3 linked regions of the Medicago truncatula genome follow. The protein of the gene in region 3 interacts with the protein of the main gene of each other region in a biochemical or structural test. Links are inferred from orthologs where the notes say so. Each region holds a gene or a part of one and is shown on either strand. Other genes may lie near its edges. The genes, in order: ethylene-insensitive protein 2, serine/threonine-protein kinase CTR1 and ethylene receptor.

Region 1 (8,880 bases), on a different chromosome or scaffold from region 3:
TATGATACATTTTTTTTTTTTTTTTAAGAAAGAAATGATATGATACATGTAATGTGATAAAATGACATAGAGAGAATTAATGTATTTAACATGTGTTTGAAAAACAATTTTATTTTTTAGCATTCGGGTTTCAAACCTCAGATTTTATATATATTATGCATTTTTCTTATCTATTGAACTAAGTTTATAGGGACTAATATGATATCATTGCTGTAATTTAAATCTTTACCGTTAGTTTTAATTATTTTTTAAGCAACTTTTAGTTTTAGTTAACAATACTTTTATTTTGTAAATAAATTAAATTACTTGGATTATAATTTTTTTTTGTTTTTTTTCCGTTCAAAACAACAAGAAAGTAAAAGTAAAAGAATATCACTTTCGATTCTTTCATGAAATAAGGTAGTAGTACAGGTGGCATTTAGGATGGATCAAAGCAATACTTTTTTACCATGGGAAACTCACATTTTTTTGACAGGTGGCTGTTTCACTTTGTTTAACAGGTTAGAATAAAAAATAATGATAAATTATTTAACTTATTTTAATGAGCTAGTTTTACACCTCCCAGCTGCCAAATGTTTTTGTTCTACACCCCTGTTTATTTGAGCGTGTATTTGACCCTTATGTCCTTTATCTTTTTTTCTTTTTTTTTTTTTGTTCCGAAATACCCATTTCTCTGGAATATAGATCTGCCACTTTTCTTTCACATTAATGTCTCACACAATCATCTTCTAGATCCTGGTATCATCTAACACAAACCAGTATCAAAATGTGTTGTTATCTTATTTCCTAAGTTCTATTATCTCCTCGCCATTTTTCTTCTGATAGATCCATAAATTCCTTCCTCTCTTACAACCTTTTTGGCCTTTCTCTTCTCTCACCAACACATAAATGGCATCTTCTTCTATGGGTTACTTATAAATGTTGATTCCGTTTTATGGTAGATGTGTAATTCACGTGTTTTTATTTTGAAGATACCACCAAGAGAGTGCTTGCTCCAATCTTCAGTTGTATTGTGCTTGATTATAAGAGGAGGATGATGTCGTTAAAGTCCTTGTGGTGGCACTCAAAAGTTTAATGGTTGTTTTGCTTTGGTAGTTTGAACATAATCTTCTTGCAATTTAGGTGTTCTTGGTTTGATGGAAAGATGTAGTTTGGCCTTTTTCAAAAACAAAATTGTCGTTTTTTTTCTTCTTCAATTTTGGATTTATAACATGAGTTCATCCTGGGTTCAATGCTACCTTGTTGTGCTCATTGTTATATTTATCTTCTGGGTTCATTTTCAAATTCATTTTAAAAAATAAATACAAATACAATAAAGGATTTTTTTTAAACAAATAATATAGACTGTCAGTTCAAAATATATCAATGGCAGAATAAATAACATTGGTAAAACTTTACCAAAAAATAATTGGTAAAATAAAATACACGCAACTCTTTCTTTCATGAAGGAAGTAACACAACTTAAAAACAAAATTATAGCTGTAAAAGAAATCGCTCAAAGAGCTTAATCATTTTATTTTAAGTAGCCTTGTAATTAACGAAAAATTTACTTTCATAACCCATTCTTAGCAAGAAAACTAGAAGCCCATATAGCAGCATTATAATAAAAAATATTACTTGTGGGGTCATCATTTTTGTTACAGGTCTGTTACAAAAAGTTGCTAATAGGTTGTAAGGAAAAAGTCTGATTGAATCTGAACCATTCAGTTAAAATAATAATATATCAATGATTAAAAATGGTACTATCTCATAATGGGAAAGTATTCTCCCTGTCCATCCTAAATGCCACCAGTAGTACATTGTAAACCATAGAACATATCACCACTTTATTCTTTCTTGATTCCCATATAGTTGATTTCTACCAAATTCTTCTCATTAATCAATATCACAAATTCCCAATATTACATGCACACAAAAAAAGTTAATTATTTGCTAAGCTTTCAAATATGGTAAAAAGTAAGCCTATGTATTCCCATTCCTAGCTAACTACACGACCACTTGCAATGTTTTTGATTATTGGTCCTTGAATTGAAATTTTTCCTTCAAGCATCATGTATGACTAGTTTTCACTTTTTCCATTCATAGAAAACCACATCTTGCAATGATGTCCAGTAATTAATTGATGGGACTTACCATACAACTTTTTTTTAAAAAAAGTTGTATAAATAATCATCATATCATGTTTACTAGATGAAACAGAAATTAATGTTGAGTGTAGAATATATATGAGCTGTGTTATTTAAACATCCTTATATGTGACAATCAAAATTTTATAAAGAAAATGAGGTAGTAACACAAAAATCAAAATAATAGAGAGAGAAAGTAAAAAGATAATGTGAGTATGAGGGAGAAAATTATCAAAAAAATTATAAAAAATAGTTATTCAAATATCATTTCTCAATATATACGGAAAGTGTGAGCATATACAACCTACTCCCGAGTTAAATTTAAAGTGATGATAGAATCATGTTCTTAGACTCTTGTAACAAGTTAATAAAGTTGAGATTAGGTAGAGAAAGTTGTGATTAAATCAAGTTTTTAATCTACTTTGTTATACTTTTTTTCATTCAAAACAATACTTTTAGTTTTTAAATATTTCAAGGTTTGTATGTTTAATTTTTTGAAATTTTGTAAACTGAAACAAGTTTTTGTCGTGGCACATTTAATATGGTTTTTATATGTGTTTAGTCCTTATAAATAGAGGTTATTTAAAAATTGATCATTGAATTCGTTAATCCTGCATTTTACACTGTCAAAATTTAATCATTTAAAATTCCATCTCTCTTCCAACTTAATCAGTAAACATCTAACGTGGCTCCATGACTCATCAAAGTATGGCCTAAAGTGACAAAAATACCCCTCCTACTATCAGAGCGAAGCGAAATGAAGAAACTACCCCTCATCACAACAATTTCTTATATCACCAAAACCAAATCAAATCAGAAAGAAAAGAAAAAAAAATCTTAGCTCACTCATATTGTAATTCATCTCTTAATCCTCTTTTTCCTCAATTTTTTTGTCTTGATTGAAACATCATTTGTCAGTCCTGACCACCAACAACATGAACATGAAGAATCCAACAAAACCAGGAAGCATAAGAATGAATAGAAATTCATGATACCTAATAGAAATCCAACAAAACCAGGAAGCATAAAAACAAATTTTTTTTGAATAAGTTTTTCTATGAGGTACTAGTAAGCAACCAAACTTCACGGCACTTAAAAATTCTCTTTTTTATAATGTTCTAAACATGATTATAAAAAATAATTTAACATATAAAAGCATATACATAAATTGACTTAAAAATAATGACCGAAATATTTAAAGTATTATTGTTTGAAGAAAACAATTAGAGGAACTAAAAACAAAATACGATATATTTATAGAATTTAAAAACTTATCTCACCTTATAAAAAAGTACAGCAATCTTGCTTCTTTGGTCTCCATGCGAGCAGTACCAACCAGCTATTAAGAAACACCCTATCCGTTGTGTTGACCCATTTGCTCCATCCTTCTTTGCAAACCAGAAAAGTACTCTACCAAATACTAGTACATGATATCGTAATTAGGAAGAATTATAGGTAATAAATAAAATCACAACTACATTGCTATTTATTATTATCAGACATTTCATAATCACAACTTCATTGCTATTTATTACTTGCAGACATTCATAGATTTGCTTGATAGTACAACTTGGTAAATACTCCAGCAAGGTTCTTATAAAAAAAAACTTGGTAAGGGCTGCCAACATGATATCTTTTCTTTCCCTAAATTAATAATATCTAAAATAAATCATACTTATTTTAAAAGATAGCTTTTTAAAACACAGAGAAAACTAGGATTAAGATTCTCTCAAATGGAAAAAAAACCTTGAAGAAATAATGTGGAAATATATAGCAATGAAATATAAAAGGGTAGTAAGATTTGAATTTGAAAAAGAAAGGAGAAAAGTCATTTCAGAGTTGAGATATGAAAATTGAGAAAACATAATTTATCGGATTGTAAAATTTATTTTTACAATCTAAAATAAATCAGACCAAATTTATGGTTCACATTTGAGATAAATTTTGCACTATGCAAAAGCTTATATTCTCTTGAATCAACAAATCTCTTTGTTAAATCAAATATGATATGATTTATTGATTAAATGCTGAAAAATAAAGTTGTGTACGGTGTAAAACTAATTTAGGGGTGCACATTAGATAAAGCCAATGAATCATACTTATTTTAAAAGATAACATTTTAAAAACGGTTTGATAAAACGACTTTAAATTAAAATAAAAAACTTGAAAAATATACACATTGTCGGGACAAGTTGGTTTTATATTAAATGAGAAATATAAGCACTAGCATTCAAAATATATAAACTGTCTATGTGTATCTCTATTAAACTAAACAAATTACACAGAAAAAAGAATAAACAATTATTTTGATACTTAAATGTATGAGGCAATGCCATTTTAAGCTTCAAATATATCAAAGTATAATCTCGTAAACATATCTGAGTTAAATGTTATTATTATTAAGATTAGAAATCTCTTAAATTCTTCTGATAACTTTGAGTTTAAGTCTACCCAACAACAAATAAATATGGTTGTCCTTATTCTTGTTAAGGCAACCATTTTCCATAATAGTCGTTATGCTTATGGTCCTTCTTATAACCAACTTTATTTAATAAATGAGTTCAATTTTGGTCGTTAAAAGAAAAAAGTCATTGCACTGAGTATAAGCACCAAAATGCATGTTTACCCCAAGACAAAGACACCAATGACTTGGCCAAAAATGAAAGTTTAAAGTGGATTTCTTTCATCGATTATAATTCACATCAATATCATCAAATTATATATATATGTAATATAAATTTGACGTATTGAGAAGACTTCGATGTAAATTTTAACCAATCAAATAAAATGCGATAGAAAATAGTATAAAGAAAAAGGATATCTGTCTTTATTCAAGCTTTCTACCCTCCTTTTAGCACTTGAACATGAACACACACATGTACATATTACACTTTCACTTTCTCTCTCTTCTTCTTAAAACCCCAACCCATACAGAATATTTTCATTATTTATATAACTCCCTTCATCCTTATGCTCTCTCTCTCTCTCTCTCTCTCTCTCTCTCTTTTTTGATAGTACAACACATAAAATAATATTAAACTATAGTATCATCAATCAATTATCAAAAACTCTTAAAAATCATTATCATACCCCATAGTTCCATCAAAGTTTTATTGTTCTAAGATCTACTTCGCAGAAACAAGAGATTATAGTAGCAGAAGAAATCACAGAACCCTAATTCTACGGTAATCAAATTCATAATCAACCTTGGAATTTGTGCAAATGTTCTTCACCACCTGCATCAGATCCACGCTTTCATTTTTCATTGCTTGTTATTGTTATTGTTTCACTGTGTAGGGTTAAGGGTTTTACTTTTGTTTACTCAATTATCTTTCGCCACTTGTCTTAATTTTTCAATTTTCAACACTTTTTTTTTATCTACTGTAAGATATTTTCTTTGGCTCTGATTCTCATGTTTTTTTATTTTTTATAAAGTCGGTTTATTTTTTATTTCATTATTAAGATTTGTTGTTTTCTTTTTGCTTACACTTGCTTCGGTTAAACTCAAAAAGTATAAGTTATTTTTTTTTTGATTTCATAAATTCATAGCATTAATTGTTGTAATCTAATTGGGATAATTATAACTATTGATTCTTTAATGCTGATAGTATTAATCTGTTTTGATACTGATGTTGTCATATTCATCAATTTGATTGATTGCAGGATTTCAAAATTGATTGGTTTTTCCAAAAGATCGTTACTTGGACTATAATTGAGGATCATCATAGCTCTGTGAAAAGGGTTGATATCAATTTTGATTGAAACTGTTAATTGGGGTGTTGTGAATTTTGTGTGATGGGACATAGGTTGACTTGATTGAAAATATCAGATTTGTATCGTATAATCATAGTTAACAGTTGATTTTGTTATTGGCTGGTGATAGGATGCTGGTATAGGGATATGCTTTGTGTGAAATTGTTTGCAAATCCTTTCGAGTTTTATAAGTTGACTTAATTATAGTTTCAATTGGAGCAGCTTATTTTTCAAAGATTGGCTTGTAATATATAGTCTTTCGATAGAAATATAGTTGAGATAGTTGTATAATTATTTATTGGTCATTGAAAGTTTTAGCTACTTCGAAGTGTTTGTTGTATTTTTCTGGGAGTTGTAATTGGGGCTGTATCATCGTGGAAAATGGAAACAGAGGCATTGAGTTCTGAACAGACGAAGAGTAAAATGGAGGCAGAGACATTGAGTACTAATCCCCCTCCTGGTTTTCTTATTCGCGCACTTCCGGCTGTTATACCCGCGCTTTTGATTTCGATAGGATATGTTGACCCTGGAAAGTGGGTGGCAAGTATAGAAGGTGGTGCGAGGTTTGGTTTTGATCTGGTGGCTTTTGCGCTAATTTTCAATTTTGCCGCTATCTTCTGTCAGTACTTATCCGCAAGGGTTGGTGTAATCACTGGACGAGATCTTGCTCAGGTATCATGTCATTCACTTTAGGGTTGATAAATTACACCGATCATGTAGTAAGATTGTTATGTTTGAAAAGCTCTTGAACTCTGAACTGCTTTAACCCCTGTCCCCGAATAAAACCTATCTGTTTTATTTTCATCAATTTTTCGAGTTATATTATACTATTTAATGTAGCAACTTGCTATTGAGAAGAAGTCGTCACGTATCAGGAAGAAATGAACCTTAAAAATTATTTGTTGTTCATATTGATCTTCTGTCTGTGCATTTTGTTAATCTAATTGAGTTTTGACAGACTAAATTTGGAAGTTTATATGAAACTGGAAATTGCATTGTTACTTTGATATTTTTTTCTTTTCTTTTTCCATCTTAAAAGTATATCCTGTTCCTCCCCATGTTTCTTTCTCATGCTCCCAGTGTTTTTTTTTCTTACCCCGCTAACACTAGTTCAATTGTGGCGGTTGTGAATTGTGAGCCAGATTGAGTGGTTTTCTCTTCAATTTGCTTATTTAATTGTTATTGAGCCTATTGCGGGTTTTTGTCTTTTCTCTATTTCTTCTTCAATCTCATGTAGAAAATATGATGTTTACATGAGCAAGCTCAGATAGAATTTGATAAATGCACTTGGTTTGTATGCTTTGTTTATATACTAATTTCTCATTTTTTAACTAAAGATTTGCAGTGATGAATATGATACATGGACATGCCTTCTCCTTGGAATTCAAGCAGAACTGTCCGTGATTATGCTAGATCTTAACATGGTAATTCTCTTGCTCTTGATTAACGTTAAATATCCTGTGAATTTGATTTACACATGGTCATCTGCTATTTTTCAAATTTGTTTTGACTTGAAACTGTGGTTTAAACTGTTTTGCAAGATCTTGGGCATGGCACAAGGATTAAATCTTATTTTTGGGTGGGACTTGTTCACCTGTGTCTTTTTAACTGCCACTGGTGCTGTTTTTCATATTCTTCTTGCTATCCTCTTGGTAAGTATCACTCTTCACTTATTCACCATACCTTGTTGATCAACACTAGACTTATTATATTGCCTTTGCGTAGGACATTGAGAAGACAAAATTCCTAGGACAGTTTGTGGCAGGCTTTGTATTACTTTCTTTTATACTTGGAGTATTCATCCAATCCGAAGTTCCAGTTTCCATGAATGGAATACTAATAAATTTAAGCGGGGAGAGTACATTTATGCTGATGAGTCTTCTCGGAGCAACTCTTGTGCCTCACAACTTTTACCTTCATTCTTCTATTGTACAGGTATTCTTTCCTCTCATTCTCAATTTTCGTTCATGAAAATGTACTGAAATGTCCGTGTCTATGGCAAGCTTCCAAGAAAATATCTTTTATTTGTGTGTGGGTTTATTTGCACCTCATCTTCTGCTTGTTTGTAAAGATGAAACGTCTGACTGTTGTATAAATTACCAGATTTGCATGGGCGATTGCCTTACTGCTGGAGTTTTTTTTTTTTTTAATGAATATTTTGATCAAATCATTAGAGTCAGGTTAAAAGAGGTAGAGGAAGACCTAAGAAAACCATTCGAGAAACCATTAGAAAAGATTTAGAGGTCAATGAGTTGGATCCAAATATGGTTTTTGATAGAACACTATGGCGTCATTTGATCTATGTAGCCGACTCCACTTAGTGGGATAAGGCTTGGTTGTTGTTGTATTTTGATCAAATCGATAAGGATTGACTACTACTGGTCATTAGTTTTTTCTTTTTTCCAGAAAGCTAAACTTTGTAATCACTTATTATTCTAACTTGGTTTTATGTACTTGTTTCAAAAATCTTGTATAGTGAGTGGTTCTTTTGATTTTGTCTCGCTATAATTATATCACCAGATCCTCGTTTTGTCTAATAACATTTGAATATTATTTGTGCACTTGCATAATTGAATGGTCAAGACCAAAATAAAAGATGCTTAAAATTCTTTTTTTTTTTAGAAAGCCATACGATACAAGTAAATTATGGTACCCTTTTACTTCTCTCAAGTATGGTTTTAGTAATTGTGTGTTGTTGGTATTAATGGATGACTGGAAATTGGCTCGATGACAGGCATGAACCATGAACAATTCTAAAATGGAATTCCATGCAGAAGATAAAATTAGTATTATTTTAGATATTTTTGTTAGTGGAGATGTATCTTTCAATTGTAGGCTAGTATTTGTTTGAACTAGTACCTGTTGTTATCCAATAGTTATGACGGGTCTTCAATAAATATTTAATAGGATTTTTAGATTCATGCCTATCAATTCTCTTACTACCAGGATGTTCATCATTAGTGTCTTACATGAGGAAGATAGGAAATGACCTTAGAACATT
Region 2 (8,265 bases), on a different chromosome or scaffold from region 3:
TAATGTTTTCATCAGTCCCACCATAAATGTCACTCATGTTTCATGCATATTCATCCTCCATAGAAAGATGAGTATGCATCACAAAACTAAGTATATATATTAAGCTTATGTTGCAAGTCTGAGTCTGAAGATTCATCAGAAGTTAATTGCCAGAGTCTGACGTCATCAGAGTCTGAAGTTCATCAGAGTTTGAAGTCAAGAAGCTGGAGTTAGTTAAAGTTGGTTATTGGAAGACACAAGTTTGCAGAAGGAACAGAAGCCTGGAACGATGGCTATTTCAGAGAAATTAGAAGACATTGTATGCTTATCCACTGAAGAGCGCAGAAAAAGGATAATACTACATTTGTACAACCATTACTCCACTATTCCACTATCATGTCTGCACATAGTATTGCTACAGTTGTGCCTACACTGGTTAATTCTCCAAACAAGGAATGAATTTCAAATTATTCCTTCCTATGACATTAACCAAATCAAGCAACAAATCATTGGTGATTTGATCAAGCTTCGGTAACGACTCTTTTATGTGCTAACATCCTCTCAACGTCTCTTTCACACCTCTATATATAAAGAAGTGAAGACTCTACAATGTTTTGATAGTATCAAAACTCTGCTGAAATTTTTGTGCATCAAAACTTAGAATTTCTATAAACTTTTATATCTTATAAATTCTAGAGTCTTAATAAGAGTCTTATCTGATTTGTATTGTGAACACCACTGATTGTATATCAAGTGTTCAAACCAAACATCTTTATATGTAATTTTGTTTGTTTATAAGTCTCTTGCTTTTGTGCTTGAGCATAGAAAATCTCTTGCATGTGCGCTTGAGTATTTGAAGTCTCTTGCTTGTGTGTTTGAGCATTTGTAATCAAATATTGATTTTCGTGAACTCTCTTTGGAAGTGCAAGAGGGACAGAACTACTTCCAGATTGTGGAAGGAACTTGTATAATTGCTTGTGTCTTTATCTTATTTCTCTCTATCTATACATTATTCGCTGCATTAGACTCTGAACAATGTTCTACTTCTGAAGTGATGTTCAGAACTAGATTGCAGCGGATAAAACAGAGAGAAAGAGAAGAAAGATACAAAGCAATTATACAGGTTCCTTCCACAAACCGGAAGTCAGTCCTGTCCCCCTTGCACTTCCAAGGAGAGTTCACTAAAATGTAATATCTGATCACAACTGCTCACTGCTAAAACTAGCAAGAGACTTCAAACTACTTAAGCACAACTTACAAGAGATTTTCTATGCTCCTTAGCACAATCAAGAGACTTCTTATGCTCAAGCACAACTGCAAGAGACTTCTATTCAAACAGAATTACAAAGAAAATTGTTTGAGGTTGAACACTTGATATACAATCAATGGTGTTCACAGTACAAATCAGATACAGACTCTTAAGACTCTATAATTTCTAAGATATGAACTTTGATAAGAAATTCTGAGTGAACTTTTGATGGAGAACAATTTCAGCAGAGTTTTGGCACTTGTAAATTGTTGTTTAGTCCTTGCCATTCTCTAAGTCTTCACTCCTTTATATAGAGGTGTGAAAAAGACGTTGTGAATTTCCAGCACATCAAAATATAGTCGTTTGAAGCTTTGATCAATCACCAATGATCTTTTGCCGGATATGGTTATTGTCCTATGAATGATCAATTTCAAATCCATTCCAAGTATGAAGGAACATTGTTGCAGGCATAGCTGTTATTCTTGTCTTGTAGCAGAGACACATACTAAGTAGTGGAGGTAGTGGTTGTACACTTCGTACAATTGTACTTTGTCATCACTCTTCAAAAAGCAAGAATCCAATGCCTTCAACTTCATTTGAATTAATTGTTGCTTCACTCTCCTGGTCTTCTGCAATGCTCAAACGAGATTGAATCCATATAACAGCCTTTGAAGCTTTAAGTCTCCCATCTTCTGATGAACTTTAGCTTCTGGTGATCTTCAGTTTCTGATGAACTTGCTTCTGATGATGTCATCACTTCATGAGCACTTGACTTCAGGAGCACTTTTCTTCATACGCTTCAAGCTTCCCTTATGTTGATTCCATAGCTCTTAATTTGTTCTTCCAGAACCTACAAAAATATTTAACCTTGCATATGGTCCTGCACACTTGAACAAATATTAGCATATCCAATTGACAATTTTTAATACCTTGTTATCATCAAAACTCTCAAAGGGTAATGTTAAACACATTTTGTTCCAACAAGATATGGGTTGAAAAGATTGACTACTTATTAGGCATTACTATTAAAAAAAGGAGAATGTTAACCATTGTCATTGTGACATTGGTTAAAGTACTTAAATAAGTAAGTTTGCATCGAAAAGTGATGTAATGATTGATAAGAAAAAAGTAAAGATTTGTATTTTCAAGAGAAAGTTTCTATTAATGAGATTTTTAACCATTGCCCTTAGGACAATGGTTAGCAAGACCCTTAATTTTTTTTTTTATAAATGAGTGATATCTACACATGAGATCCATTTAAGTACCAAAAAATGAGTGTCTTCTTTATGGATGCTTTTTTGGGTTCTGTTTTTTTTTCTTCTTTTTCTTAAGAATAAAAAATGGAATATATTAACAACGGCGATGATTCTTATTTAGCACAAGGTGTACTAAAGAAGCAACCCCAAAGGGCAAACAATCACAGTATAATTACAATAAACAGGTTAGTCGATACCCAAACAAAGTAACGGGTCTGACCACCATCTAATCGTGCCATAAACAAACGTGACATTGTTAGCTTTAAGCCACAAAAAGAAATCCTGCTTAACCTTTTCCAGAAGACCTATAATATTAGTTTGGATATTCTTAAATATTCTATTATTTCGTTCATTCCAAATTATCCACACACAATAACCAAAACATCTATATTGTTTAGGTTATGTTAACTTGTGTCCTTAAGACACATGTTAAACACTCCAATAATGGTAAGAATTTCTTGGAAAAATTAATATTAAACCTTTCGAACAATAAATTAACACAATTTTCAATACATAATTTTTATCAATATAATTTTTAACATATGTCATAACAACATAAATTAACATTTTTTTTTTCTTCATCGAAGGAATTTCATCACGAAATCCAAACCGCTATGAACCTGGCCGTATATCACCATCACTAGCAGCCACCAAACCAAACTAAAGTTCATGTTCTATTTTTACCCGTACAAGAAGGGTCACATGCGAAAGCTGAAATAAAAATATGCTAAATTCAACTTCGCCCACAACTATATCCATATCTGTTTAAAGGCGTGTGTAATCTGAACTCACTGCAAAGTTGTTATGACAACATACATTAAAGTAAGGCTGGTCAAGTACAAATTAGAAAAATCCAACTTGTAATTAGATTCTTATTTTTAAATCATTCATTTCTATTCTTAATCAATTCAATCCAACTTGCATATTAAAAAATTTGTAATTATTTTTTTCTACTATTATCATCCAAAAACAAAAAGTCATATTTTTATATTATTAAAAAAATACCACCAGGTGAATTGAACCGGCCAACGTGTGAACCAAATACCGCTTTGCCCACCGAAAATAATAAAGGGAAATGTTAACTAACCAATGCCCTTGAACTTTAGATAGTAACTTTTATAAAAGTTTGTGTAATGAGTGTATTGGAAATTAAAAACTTTTTAATTTTAAAAGAATAATTACTTTATTTAGTATGTTTAAAGAGTATTTCAGAGACACTCATTAACAAGACCCAATAATAAATTACAATCGAACATCATTTTTTTACACAGACATATATTCCGATTATTACTATAAATAAAAATCTTCTCCTACTTTTTTGAAACACATTTTAGTAAATATTTAGATCAAATATATTATTTATTTAATGAATTTAAAAAATGGTTTTATAATAGTGACCGAAAGATGTAAAGATCAATTTATTTATGTTATTGTAAATCAATTGACAAGGAAATCACAATACACACGATCAATATTCACACTTTGAATTCTTCATTCTCGAGAGTGAAATTTCAACCATTTTGACTACTTGATAAAAAAAAGATACCGATTAATCATGTTGAAAAATATGATTAACTTTGTTAAGTAAATTAATTTATAATTAGAATTGTGGTTAGTTCAATTACATAATTAACTAAAATTTTACGAATTCTATCATGATCGAAATTAAACATATACCATTCTCGTGAGTTTATCTAAGTGACTTTGATTTTTCATAATATATGCAAAGGGGAGGTTCAAATTTCATATATTCCACTTATTTATCTCAAGAGATTAATTCTTAACAAACAAACTACTTAAAAAAGATATATATTTAACCAAATCACAACTTCGATTATGATTAGGCTAAAATATGGTTTTGGTCCTGCAAATATGCTTCGTTTTTGTTTTAGTCTCTGTAAATTTTTTTTGTTGTGACTATTTTCAAAAACAAAATATTTTGCAAGGACCTTTTTAAAAATCAAAATATTTTGCGGGGACTATTTTTCTAAATATGGGTTCAATCATCATGTGTCACGTGCGTAAATCATCACAAAAGTGGAGTCAGAGATCAAAACCAAAACGAGACATATTTGCAGGACCAAAAACAACAAAAAAAATTTATAGAGATTAAAACCAAAACGAAACATATTTGCAGGAAAATCCATACTTTAGCCTTATGATTAATATGAACTCGAAGTTCCACAATTAAAAAAACTCAAAATTGTTGAGAAAAATACACAATAAAAAAAACTCGAAATTGTAGACAAAATTGAGTGATATGTATGAAACATTTTTGGAAAAGAAATACCAAAACTTTTGAAAATAATTTAATTTACGATAGCGCCACCGAATTAAACAAAGAAAAAACTTCGTCACTTTGATTTCTCTCTCCCCGGAACTCAGAGAGAGAAATTTCATTCATTCCACCATTCACACTTAACAGTTACCAGATTCTAGAAAGAGAAAAAGGAAAACGAAGAATAACGTAACAGAAACTTCAACGAAGAACAACAATGAAGATTTTTAGGGTTTTATAACTAAACCAAAACGGTGATTGATTTCAATGGAAATGCCTGCTAGAAGATCTAATTACTCGATTCTAAGTCAAGTTCCCGACGATCAATTCTCCTACGCCGCCAGCGCTAGTGCTCCGGCACCGTCGTCGTCGAGCGACGGAAAAGCTAGTAGAGGCGGTTGGGAGTTAGTCGGCGATCATCGGCAAGGGAACAATCGGATCGGGAATTTGAATTTGTATTCATCGATCGGATTACAGCGGCAGTCGAGTGGAAGTAGTTACGGCGAAAGTTCGTTAGCCAGCGGCGGTGATTATTATGCGCAGAATCTGTCGGCGGTGGCGGCTAGTGAGGTTGATGCGTTTGGTTATTTGCATGAGGTTGGTGAGGTGAGGGGGAAGTTGGCGGAAAGTGCGGCGTGGAACGGGGGATCGTCTGGTAAGAGCTGGGCGCAGCAGACGGAGGAGAGTTATCAGTTGCAGCTTGCGCTGGCTTTGAGGTTATCGTCGGATGCTACTTGTGCTGATGATCCGAATTTTCTGGATCCGGTGCCAGATGACGCGGCTTCGAGGCTTTCGGCATCGGCTGAGGCTGTTTCGCATCGATTTTGGGTATGTTGTTTGTTGTACCTTGATTGTGTTGCTTTGAATTGTGATTTTTGATTCTGGTAATGGCTTTGACTGTGAATGTGACTACGAAGCATTGACACACACAGACACGGTAATAATCTGAGAAAATGAATTAATTGAATGTAATTACACGCATCAGTGTCATGGTGGTGTCGGACACCGGACATGCCTTTCATCAGAGTTGTCAGTGCTATAGAGGATTGTGAATTGTGATAACTAATGAAAATAAGGACAAGGTGTGTGAATGACTATGGATATATTTTGACTATGGGTGTACTGTGGTTACTTGTGTATATAAGCCAAATTAAGGCAATGCTGTGTAGCGTCGTATATGCTGAATTTATATAGGGCTGAATTTATATAGGTTTGTCGGCTTCTCTGTTATGTGTCAACGGGATGACCGAATTTTCGGTTGACGGCGACAAATTTGGAGGACAAAGTTTCTGTAGTTCATTTAGGATGCAGTTGACTTGAATGGATGGGATTTGGTTTAGTATAAAATCTTCTTAAGAAGTTGTGTTTTGTTTGTTATATGGTATAGAGTTGAATTTTGAATTACAGTGTTGAAGTCTAATAGGAGTTTTCTGGATATTAGGGTTCTATTTTTCAATATTTTTTTGGTGCTAGTTCATTGGGAAAACCATTTGTCACTAGCTATCACATTGATTGAGGAAACTATCTCATGCAGTCTCAGTTTTCACATTTGATTGGCACTTTGCTGGGAGTTCTGGAAAGAATGGTTTTCAGTATTCTATTACTGTCTGACTTAAATGCTATGATCATATTTCTCATTCTTGAATTGACTTTTTTTTTTTTTTTTTATCTCTAAATAAATGTGTATCTTATTTTTACACTGCATAAAAAATCAACATTGGAAAATATGATGTTTGTGGAGTCAAACCGACACATCTTGAAAATGCTAATTAATATTTTAACAATGTTGCTTTGAGTAGAACGTGCGTTGCGTATAATCATCATTTATTGAGTGAAAAACTAGACCTCCTCTCTTTGTTTTACCCGACCACTGAAATTTGAGGGTGGAAACTGTAACTTGTTTCATCTTGATAGACTTGATGCTCTTATTGTTAGATATGTGAAAGTTGATTTTGTATCTTATTTATAATGTACACCAGGTGAATGGCTGCCTATCATACTCCGACAAAATTCCTGATGGCTTTTATCTGATTCATGGGATGGATTCCTATGTATGGACTGTGTGCACTGATCTGCAGGAAAACAGCCGAATCCCATCAGTTGATACTCTAAAGTCTGTACATCCCCGCATTGATTCTTCCCTTGATGTAGTTTTGGTGGATCGGCGCAGTGATGCCAGCTTGAGAGAACTGCAAAACATGGTTCATAACATCTCTTGTAGCAGCATAACAACAACAGAGGTTGTGGATCAGCTTTCCAAGCTGGTTTGCAACTGTATGGGGTGAGCCTTCTTGGCATTCATGGCCCGACCTATTTAGCTTTTTATCCGGTCATGTCAGTCTAACTGTGTTTTATTGCTATAACAAGGGGTTCAGCTTCTGCTGGGGAGGATGAGTTTCTATCTTTTTGGAGGGATTGCAGCAATAATCTGAAAGATTGCTTAGGATCTGTTGTTTTTCCCATAGGTAGTCTATCTGTTGGTCTCTGCAGGCATCGCGCCATATTATTCAAAGTAAGGCTCCACTTCTCTGTCGGGGTTTAAGGTTGTGATTACACATGCTGACTATGTTGACGAGTTTTTGTTCACCGGAGGTGGATTGTATTTAAGCAATTCTGAATAACTTGTTATATATTTATTATTTTAGGTGCTAGCTGATGCTATTGATTTACCATGTCGAATTGCAAAGGGCTGTAAATATTGTAAAAGAGATGACGCTTCTTCTTGTCTTGTTCGATTTGGGCTTGACAGGTATACGCTTTATTTTCCAAGCATACATACCTTTCTGTTTATAAGTTTATCTGCAATTTCATTAGCTATATATAACGATCATGGAATGGAAAATTTTAAAAGGACTGGAGATCAATGGTTAACATAATGTATATCGACATTGACATTTTAAATAGATTTTCATTAGAGTAATATTCCTGTCACCTCACCTCTTACATAATCTAATGTCAGGGAATATCTTGTTGATTTAATTGGGAAGCCAGGACACTTATCCGAGCCTGATTCCTTGCTCAATGGTCCATCTTCCATCTCATTTTGTTCACCCTTGCGCTTTCCAAGACTTAAGCCAGCTGAAACTACAATTGATTTCAGGTCACTAGCCAAACAGTATTTCTCAGACTGTCTGTCTCTTGAGCTTTTCTTCGACAACAGTTCAGCAGGTAATATTCAGATATTTTGGTTAAATTTGTGCTATTCTAAATCTTGGCTTCTGGTCTCTAGAAGGATCTACTTGGAGCATATTGTTGCATTTATCAAGAATTTGAGATCCAGGCCTCCCAGTTCCTTTTTTTCTCCCCCAACTTTTTAACGAGTGATAAAAACTTCTTCCATAAGCAAGTTACTTTCAAATAAGATTGTGGCTTCACTTATAGAAAAATCCCTATAAGTTTATAAGTGTTTACGAAGAAGTTAAATGAGACAATTTCTGAAAAATATTTAAAGCAGAAGCTAATTCCATTTTCCATAAGTTCTTACGGAGAAATTTATACAAATC
Region 3 (8,269 bases):
GGTTCGACATGTTAAACTGTGAGCCAGCATTCTCTACGGTTTGGTAATTTGAGCGATTCGAACATGGTTTTGTTCTGGTTCGAGCGGTTTAAAGTAGTTGAACTATGGCTAAGAGGTTTTGTCGGTTCAATGTTCAGTTCAGTTGTTAAACATTGCTTTTAAGGATTGAAAATTAAAAGTTTTAGCAGCTACACCTTGATGTATATAGACTTACCTAACATTGGACTAATAACAAGCAACACCAGCATTGTAATATCATGCTTTCAAGCACATAATTGGGACCAAAGTAGGGGCTTAGCATAAGAAATCAGCCTATGTTTACTTTTCTATAAAATCACCAGAATACTCAAATAACTAATAGGTGACATAGTATCAAATTTCTAAAATGAAGGTACTGAAAATATTGTTACTGACCCATTATCATCCATGACGAGAACTTTGAGACCAGAAATGTTTGTAGATCCATGATTTACTGAAGCTTTAGGTTTGTAAGGTAGTTTAAATTCATTTGGTCGGTCCGCGATTCCAAGTTTTACAATAAAAGTGACTGTACATCCTTTACCAATACCTTCACTTTCAATCCAAATATGCCCTTCCATGAGATTCACAAACCTGCTCACAATTTAAAGATACCGTACGCAATCAATAGAAAATCATAAATACCAATATTGAAGAGAGCAAATTCTAATTTTGTAAATATACTATAGCCCAAGGAATAGAAAACAAATTAATATGTTCATATCAGTAACTATAGAAGAATATAATACCTTTTACAAATTGCAAGGCCAAGCCCACTTCCAACAGGATTTTTTGTTCCTAATGTTTGGTTTTGTGCAAACTTAGTGAATAACTTTGGGATGTCTTGTGGATTGATTCCTGATCCTGAATCTTTTACCTATAATGTGGAAAAAAATATATATTCCACCTTCGAAATCAGATAAAAGAGGATACAATATACCAAAACAGAAGAAAATTAATCAAGCTTGACGAAACAAACCTGTACTCGCAAATAAAAGTGGCTATCACTTGGTACTGGTAGGAAATCAGGAAATCTAATATCTCGGAAGGATTCAGGCTTTACAACAACCACGGTGATGGAAATGCTGCCTTCTTTTGTGAACTTAACAGCATTACCAACAACATTGAGAAGAATTTGCATGAGACGCTTTTCATCACCAATTGCATGCACCGGCAAATCTGATGCGAAATGTAAAGTGAGTGACAGCTTTTTAACAGATGCAACAGGTTTAATCAAGTTAAGGACCTGCAATCAGAGTAACAAATCTAACAACATCAAGCTTTTGAAGAAACTCAAAGATCATAAGCTACTAGTCAGACTAATATAGTTGAATTTTTCGGGATTTATGCGAAAATTTTACCTCTCTAAACAATGAATGAAGGTTAAATGTTGATATTTCAAGTTGAAAACTGCCATCTTCAAGCCGTGAAAGATCCAAAACATCGTTGACGAGTGTAGCTAATAAATTGCTGCTTTTCAGTATTGTTTCCACCATTAGACGTTGCTCAGCAGTCAGATCTGTTTCCTGCATCAATGAAGAGAGTGCAATAATTGCATGCATCGGAGTTCTCATCTCGTGATTCATAACAGCCAAAAAGTCATTGCGAGCATGAATCGCAGTTTCTGCTTCTCTTCTTGCCATATCAAGTGCAACATTCTGCTCCATAAGTTGATCCCTTGCCCTCATCGACTCTTCTAAGATTGCAGCATGAGAAAGAGCAACAGCTACCTGGTGTAAAAACAGGTCCATGTAAAAGAATTTCCGTCAAATAAAAGTGAAGCAAACAACATGTAAAGAAATACGGGACAAAGGAAACTGAATAAAATGGCGAATTACTAACCTGATCAGCAACTACCTCGACGAGCTCTAACTCATGTACATGCCACTGTCTAGCACTATCAGATGGAAGCATCAAAACCATCAAAGCATAGCTTCTAGTTGAAACCTCAGGCCAATCATATATTTGAAAATTAGAAAGATTTAGGAGAGGAACCCGAATAGCAACTACTGCTCCAGGCATGTATTTTGCAGCATGAGGTCGTAATCTAGCAACTGGGCAATTCGATGAAATTTTAACTGCACGGTTGCTACTAAATACATGGTTGATCACAGGAAGATTAATAGGTACTGTATATCCAACAGGGTTCTGCTGTCGCAATGTGTAAGAAAGTTGAAGCTCCAAACCGGTACGTGTCGGCATCCATAACGCACATTCCTCTAACCCAAGAGTTCTACCAAGTTCAACAAGAGTCGTTTTCAGTATTGTATGTCTATCAAGAGTGCTTCTAATCTCATGAGTCAACATCCTAACATGTCGACCAGTTTCTTCCTGTGTACGAATCAAGCCCATTTCTCTATCGAGCTCTGCAGCCTTGTTCTTCAAAAATAATTCTCTAGTTTTAACACTTAATAGATCGGGAATAATATGTACAAGCATAAGGGCAGTGGCACACGATACCACAGCGGTTAAAACCTTGGCGGTGGTCATTACAATTGCTACGGTTCTTGTATGAATTGTGAAGGTCCATAAATTTATTAGATGTGTTGCTCCACATAGAACTATGAAGGCACCAAACTGAACAAGGACCCATCTATATGGAAATACTGCAGATTTCTTAACAAAGTAGATAAGCTCGAGTGGGATCGAGAAATAAGCAAGGGCAATGAAGAAATCTGATATGTATTGGTATTTCATCAATAAATCATCTGCTGGCCATTGTGGCTCAATACAATTGCAGGATTCCATCATGATTGAATTGAACCACTCAGCCAATTCGGCCGTAATCACATAACTACATTAAAGACGTAAAATTTAAGCATCAGTCACAGGAAATGGATCTTAAAAAACAATAATAATAGCCCCCGGTAATCCGGAGTTTGACCAAGATGTAAGTAACGTCTGATCAAGAATTGTTCCACCTAGAGTTGGAACTCGTATAATCCCGATCAATTTGACCTTTACTAAAGCTCATTAACCACTTGGCTAATGCAATTATCAATACGAATTCCCTCGAAACAATCATGACCATAGAACTAAAAAACCAGTAAAGACAATCTCATCTCATCTCAAATGAACATAGAAAGCAAAGTCAAAGAAACAAACAATCTTCAAAATATGGTCTTCCTCTGCACCCAATTACCACAAAGAACTACCATAAAAATAAAAGCTTACCTTTTTATTAATTAATTCTCATAAAACCAAAACAGTGTCTATTATTAACAACAAACAGATTATCAAAATCTCAAAATCCAGCAGCATTATCCCATTGCTAACTAAACCCCCCCAAAATCATAACACCCTTAATTTCATACAGCTATCAAAAACATTTGAGCTGCCCAACCTTAGAAAATAATTAAGATTAAAAATTAAACACTTTCATGAACCAAATTAGTATATGTAATTTAGCTTCCTAATACTCTAGCCTTTACTAATTATAATTACATGCTTCATAAAAATTAAAACAAATTTGCAAAAAAAATAGATGAATCAAATATAATTATGGGTATAAATTAATTAATAAAATAATATAAAAAAATTAACAAATTAAGGAGGAGGTGGAATAGTGAAATAAATTTAGAAATAAAATAGAAAAAAAGATTAAAAAAAAATAAAAAAAAGGTAAGAGTGATCTTGAAACTTACATGGAAATGAAATGAATATAATCTGCAAGAGAATAATGGAAGAAAACTGAAGGAAGAGACAGGAAAAGAAACGAATAGTGTTGCAGGAACAAGTTGTATAAAATAATAAAAGTATTGAATTAAATTATATAGTTTTATACTAATAAATAAATAGTAAAGTAATGCATGTGGTAGTCAAGTTCAATGCATTTGGGTGGGTCGAAAAGGGACGTTACCGCATATGACGGAGACACAAAACTAAACATATCTATCTAGGTATGTACTGTACTTTCTGATAATGTTACATAAAGTCTCAAATAGTCAAATTAGCTTGGAATAGCCGGATTGTAACATATCAAAACCGACAAAAACTGTATTAAAATGATGGGTTGAATCGTTCTTATTAGTCAACCTGAATGAGTGGTCCCTACCTCCACTGATGAGTATATAATCTAACTATTCCATTGGGACACGTTGAAAACATTAAGAATGTATCATCAACAAGGAGGCAGAAGACTCTCTCAACCCTAACCTTTCTCTAATGGCTTATTTAACAGGATCTTAATGGTCAACCACCAACTAATTAAATCAGGTACACATCTATTCTATTAATACTAAATGCTATAATTTGTGTCTAATGATCTATGGCTTAGTATTAGAATTATCAATCTGAACCGTCTGATATGATATCAACGGTTGGGATTTATTACAGCACCAAACTGTGTGTTTTTCTATATCAGCAAATCCTGGTCTAGAATAAATGCTACTCCAAGATTTTTGTTATTTTTTGTTTTAATAAATGGAAGATAGTAAATTGAGCATAATCGAACAAACTCTGTGTGGTCCAATTTTTAATTTTTTGTTTTGAAAAAATTAAATTAATCCATCCAAATTGGTATAGAGGATAATCGAATTTGACCTTGACGAGGAGCATGCTTCAAGGTCCTAAGCCAACACAACCGGATCAACCTAAATGGATTTCAATTTTATTCTTATATTTGATCGTCGCCCTTTTCTACTTTTTTTGGTTATTAATTTAAAAGTGACATGAGATATGACTCGAACATGTTTTTATAATTTTATTTTTAGAAGCAAACTACTCCCTCCGTCCTAAAATATAAGCAAAAAAATCTCATATTTTTTGTCTCAAAATATAAGAAAAAAGACTAATTTTTATGCTATTATTATGTTTTTTCAAACAAATCATCTTTTCCAATGTAAAATTAAATGCAAATTGCATTCAATTGGTTCTCCTTTTTATTTTTTCCATAATTTTTAACCAATGAGAATTATTTTTACATCTTTCCATGAAACTTATTCCAAGGAGAACACAAAAAATTATACCTCAAATCACTAAATGTTAGTTTTCTTAATAAGTGTGAATTACTGTTTTTTGCTTATAAATTAGGACGGAGGGAGTATGTTATATGGGAGAATGAGGGATTCTCTTACCCGTAAACAATGTACTATCAATAACACGACAAAGAAAAAACACATTTAGGCAACATTGTTTTTTAAGTAGGGACAATGATCATCTTATAAGTTGAATTTATTAGAGTTGAGTGTTAGATGTATAAATGTGTTCGAGCGCTCTGATCATTTAAATTACATTTTAGAATGAGATTCAAACTCATTAATATGATATTAAAGTCAAATTAAGAATTGCAAATGTCAAAATTGTATGTATGGCTCACATTAGATGTGAGAGTCGATGCTATATTGCACAAATTTTCAGGTTTTTTTTGAAAGTGAGTTAATTTTTTACTGTTTTTAAAAACATTATTGGTAAATTTTTAGATGCTTTGAAAATTGGTTGGATACCTGTACGTGTAGGTAAATTTTATTTAACATTTGAATTTAGTTTAAATTAACTAATATAAAGAGAAGTTCATATTCAACCAAACTTCAGGAGTATGATTGTGTTCACCAACATTGATTAATCCAAAATAATATAGGTTCAATTAAATTTTTAGTCCTTGTAATTATTCACAGTTTTGTTTTTAGTCCCTACAAAATAAAATCACATTGTTTAGACCCTGTGACATTTTTCTTAAGCATTTTAGGGACCAAAATTGCTGATAGAAATTTTTTACATGGACTAAAAGTGCTGATGGAAAAATTTATAGGGACTAAAAATGATGATGGAAAATTTTATAAGGACTTAAAAGTGTGATTTTATTTTGTAGGGACTAAAAACAAAACTGTGAATGTTTATAGGAACTAAAAACTTAATGATCCCAATAATATATTTGTACTGAAATTCGTCCAAAAATTTATATTTGACCATAATCAAACAACTTTACCCTAATTTTCAATGTTAGAAGTTGAATAAAATCACCAATTACAACTTACATGACATCGATAGTTGAACTTATCATTCACATCTTGCACTTTGTGTGTCTCCCATAATTTAATTTTTTATTATATATAAAAAAAAGAAGTTGAATTAGATCTAAATAGTAAAAAAATGAAAATTTCTTAAAAAGTTTAAAAATTATATTTTTCAGAGAAATTTCTTATATTTAAATGTTTAACTACTATAAGAAAATATACTAGCGAATTGTAACCAAAAAAAAAAAAATGCTAGCGAAACCTGTATTAGAGTGCAAGATACATCTAAAATAAAAAACAGCTGTCATTGCTTCTTCTTGTGTCACTCAAATGTTATTTCAGGTTTACATCACTTTTAGTAAGGGAAGGGTGTGGCCTATGTGCCAAAGTATGTCCTACAGATGGAAGCAGTGGCATATCTATATTTGCCACATCTGCATTTAACTGCCGCGGAAATTAACTGACGGTTGTTAATTAGCGGTGATTAATTTTCGCTGATTTTTTCTTCTTCTTCTAGCACCTTAACCCACGTGTGGATCCGGTGCAACTCAACAGTTGGAGGGGTGTCCCCCCCCCTTGAACTCGTCACTTAAGTGTGAATCATTTAACCAATCCCTGAATAACTATATGTTACTTTAATCCAACATATGAATAGAGGGATTCAAAGAATCCTAACCGCTGCTAACATTCTGCAATCAAAATCAGGTTACTACTTCACTAGTGCTAGTTAGAACGACAATCCCTGTTGATACGACACTCACTTATCACTTTATTACTTGGTAAGGATTTGATACGGTTGCTGAAATTTTTCAAGAAATTTTTGGCACCGCCGCTGGTAGTGTTTATATTTTCAATGAGGCAATTTGTTGTACTTATTTATATTTGTTTTTATTTTAGTTATTTTATTTTTGTCCTTTCATTACAAAAATATTTACCGTGATTCAGCCATACTAAAAACTTTGTTTAGTTTGTTTCATACCGTTCAAGTATTATGCTACTAGATCCCGACATAAAAAAAACTGAAAATAGAACTTATGAAAGTTCCTCAAATTGCTAGAGAAAGGACCAATCACACTGAAATCATTCCAATTCAAGAATATTTATCTAACGAGTCAGAAATGAGAGACGAGAATCCACCTATCACTTTACGAGACTATGGGAGGCTGGAAAACTTGGATGAAGTATCTCTTGGGTTCTAACCTGCAAACCCAGTAATGTTCAGACATGATACAATTCTTCACAACTAGGTTGAAACCCAACAACATCCATGTTGTTGGACGCATCACCCGGAGGAACAATGAAGATCAAAACTGTGGAAGAAATCAAGGTACTCATTGAAAACATGGTCCAAAATGATTATTAACCCTAACTGATGATATAATAAACCGAATAAGTATGCAACAAGCTAATCAAACATTTCAATAAAATATGCTTGCGATCAACAAACTGTTGGGAATCAAGCTGGAAACCATCTCCAAACAGTTGGAAGTAGCATAATTAACAACTAACGGGATAGGATGCATTTTTGTGAAAAGCCATACCCCTCGGGAAGCTGTCTGCCTACTAAATTAAGTTTGATTCTCCTCAATGTCAATTTAGATGGACTAATTTAACTTCTTTAAAAAAATATATATATAGAGAATATACCTTGATGTTTTTGTTTTTTTGTTTGTTTGTCTTTTTTTGTTTTAAAAAGAATGTCAAATGCATCTAAAGGTCCTTTAAATTTTTCGTTTTTGTCAAAGTGGTCCTTTAAGTTTCAAAAGTCCCAAACAAATCCTTTTAATTTTTGGATCGTTTCAAACAAGTCGTATTGTAGATAGCATAGTTGGTAATTGCTTCCTTGAACTCATATTTGGTACCAAATCTGGCTCCTAACACCCACTTAAAACTAGTCATCTTTTTAGGCATGGTAAATGGCAGATAATGCTCTTTGTTGCTATCATCTGAATCATCACCATCATCCTTTAAAAGGACTTGTTTAAAACGATTCAAAAACTAAAAGGACTTGTTTGAGACTTTTGAAACTTAAAAACTTGTTTGGGATTTTTGAAACTTAAAGGACCACTTTAAAAATAACGAAAAAAACTTAAAGGATCTTTAGATGCATTGGACCTAGAAAGCGTTGAACCATAACTTATACTCCCTCCGTCCTTATATATAAGACCCTTTTGCCAAAATCACGGGAATTAAGATAGTGAATATTTGTATTAAAGTTGTTTGTAATCACTATTGTTTTTACAATTTTATCCTTTAAGAAAGAAGGTTAGTTTATGTTTTCAACATGTTATTTATTG

What was found.
Region 1: the proteins of ethylene receptor (region 3) and ethylene-insensitive protein 2 form a complex in vitro, tested with the Arabidopsis thaliana proteins (2 studies listed by BioGRID). The link is inferred for Medicago truncatula from reciprocal best matches to the Arabidopsis thaliana genes ETR1 and EIN2.
Region 2: the proteins of ethylene receptor (region 3) and serine/threonine-protein kinase CTR1 form a complex in vitro, tested with the Arabidopsis thaliana proteins (2 studies listed by BioGRID). The link is inferred for Medicago truncatula from reciprocal best matches to the Arabidopsis thaliana genes ETR1 and CTR1.

The regions. Positions count from the first base shown.
Region 1 is NC_053048.1:47,791,086-47,799,965, reverse strand, and holds the start of ethylene-insensitive protein 2, read left to right. Parts: upstream 1-5,081; 5' UTR 5,082-5,311; intron 5,312-5,789; 5' UTR 5,790-6,260; coding exon 6,261-6,551; intron 6,552-7,216; coding exon 7,217-7,303; intron 7,304-7,420; coding exon 7,421-7,531; intron 7,532-7,604; coding exon 7,605-7,814; intron 7,815-8,880. UniProt on the Arabidopsis thaliana protein: Central factor in signaling pathways regulated by ethylene (ET) and involved in various processes including development, plant defense, senescence, nucleotide sugar flux, and tropisms.
Region 2 is NC_053042.1:30,651,824-30,660,088, reverse strand, and holds the start of serine/threonine-protein kinase CTR1, read left to right. Parts: upstream 1-4,809; 5' UTR 4,810-5,029; coding exon 5,030-5,590; intron 5,591-6,741; coding exon 6,742-7,043; intron 7,044-7,129; coding exon 7,130-7,274; intron 7,275-7,407; coding exon 7,408-7,511; intron 7,512-7,721; coding exon 7,722-7,930; intron 7,931-8,265. UniProt on the Arabidopsis thaliana protein: Acts as a negative regulator in the ethylene response pathway. Phosphorylates the cytosolic C-terminal domain of EIN2, preventing the signaling in the absence of ethylene.
Region 3 is NC_053045.1:11,198,591-11,206,859, reverse strand, and holds the start of ethylene receptor, read right to left. Parts: upstream 3,817-8,269; 5' UTR 3,663-3,816; intron 2,813-3,662; 5' UTR 2,770-2,812; coding exon 1,861-2,769; intron 1,749-1,860; coding exon 1,380-1,748; intron 1,265-1,379; coding exon 998-1,264; intron 896-997; coding exon 768-895; intron 613-767; coding exon 415-612; intron 1-414. UniProt on the Arabidopsis thaliana protein: Ethylene receptor related to bacterial two-component regulators. Acts as a redundant negative regulator of ethylene signaling.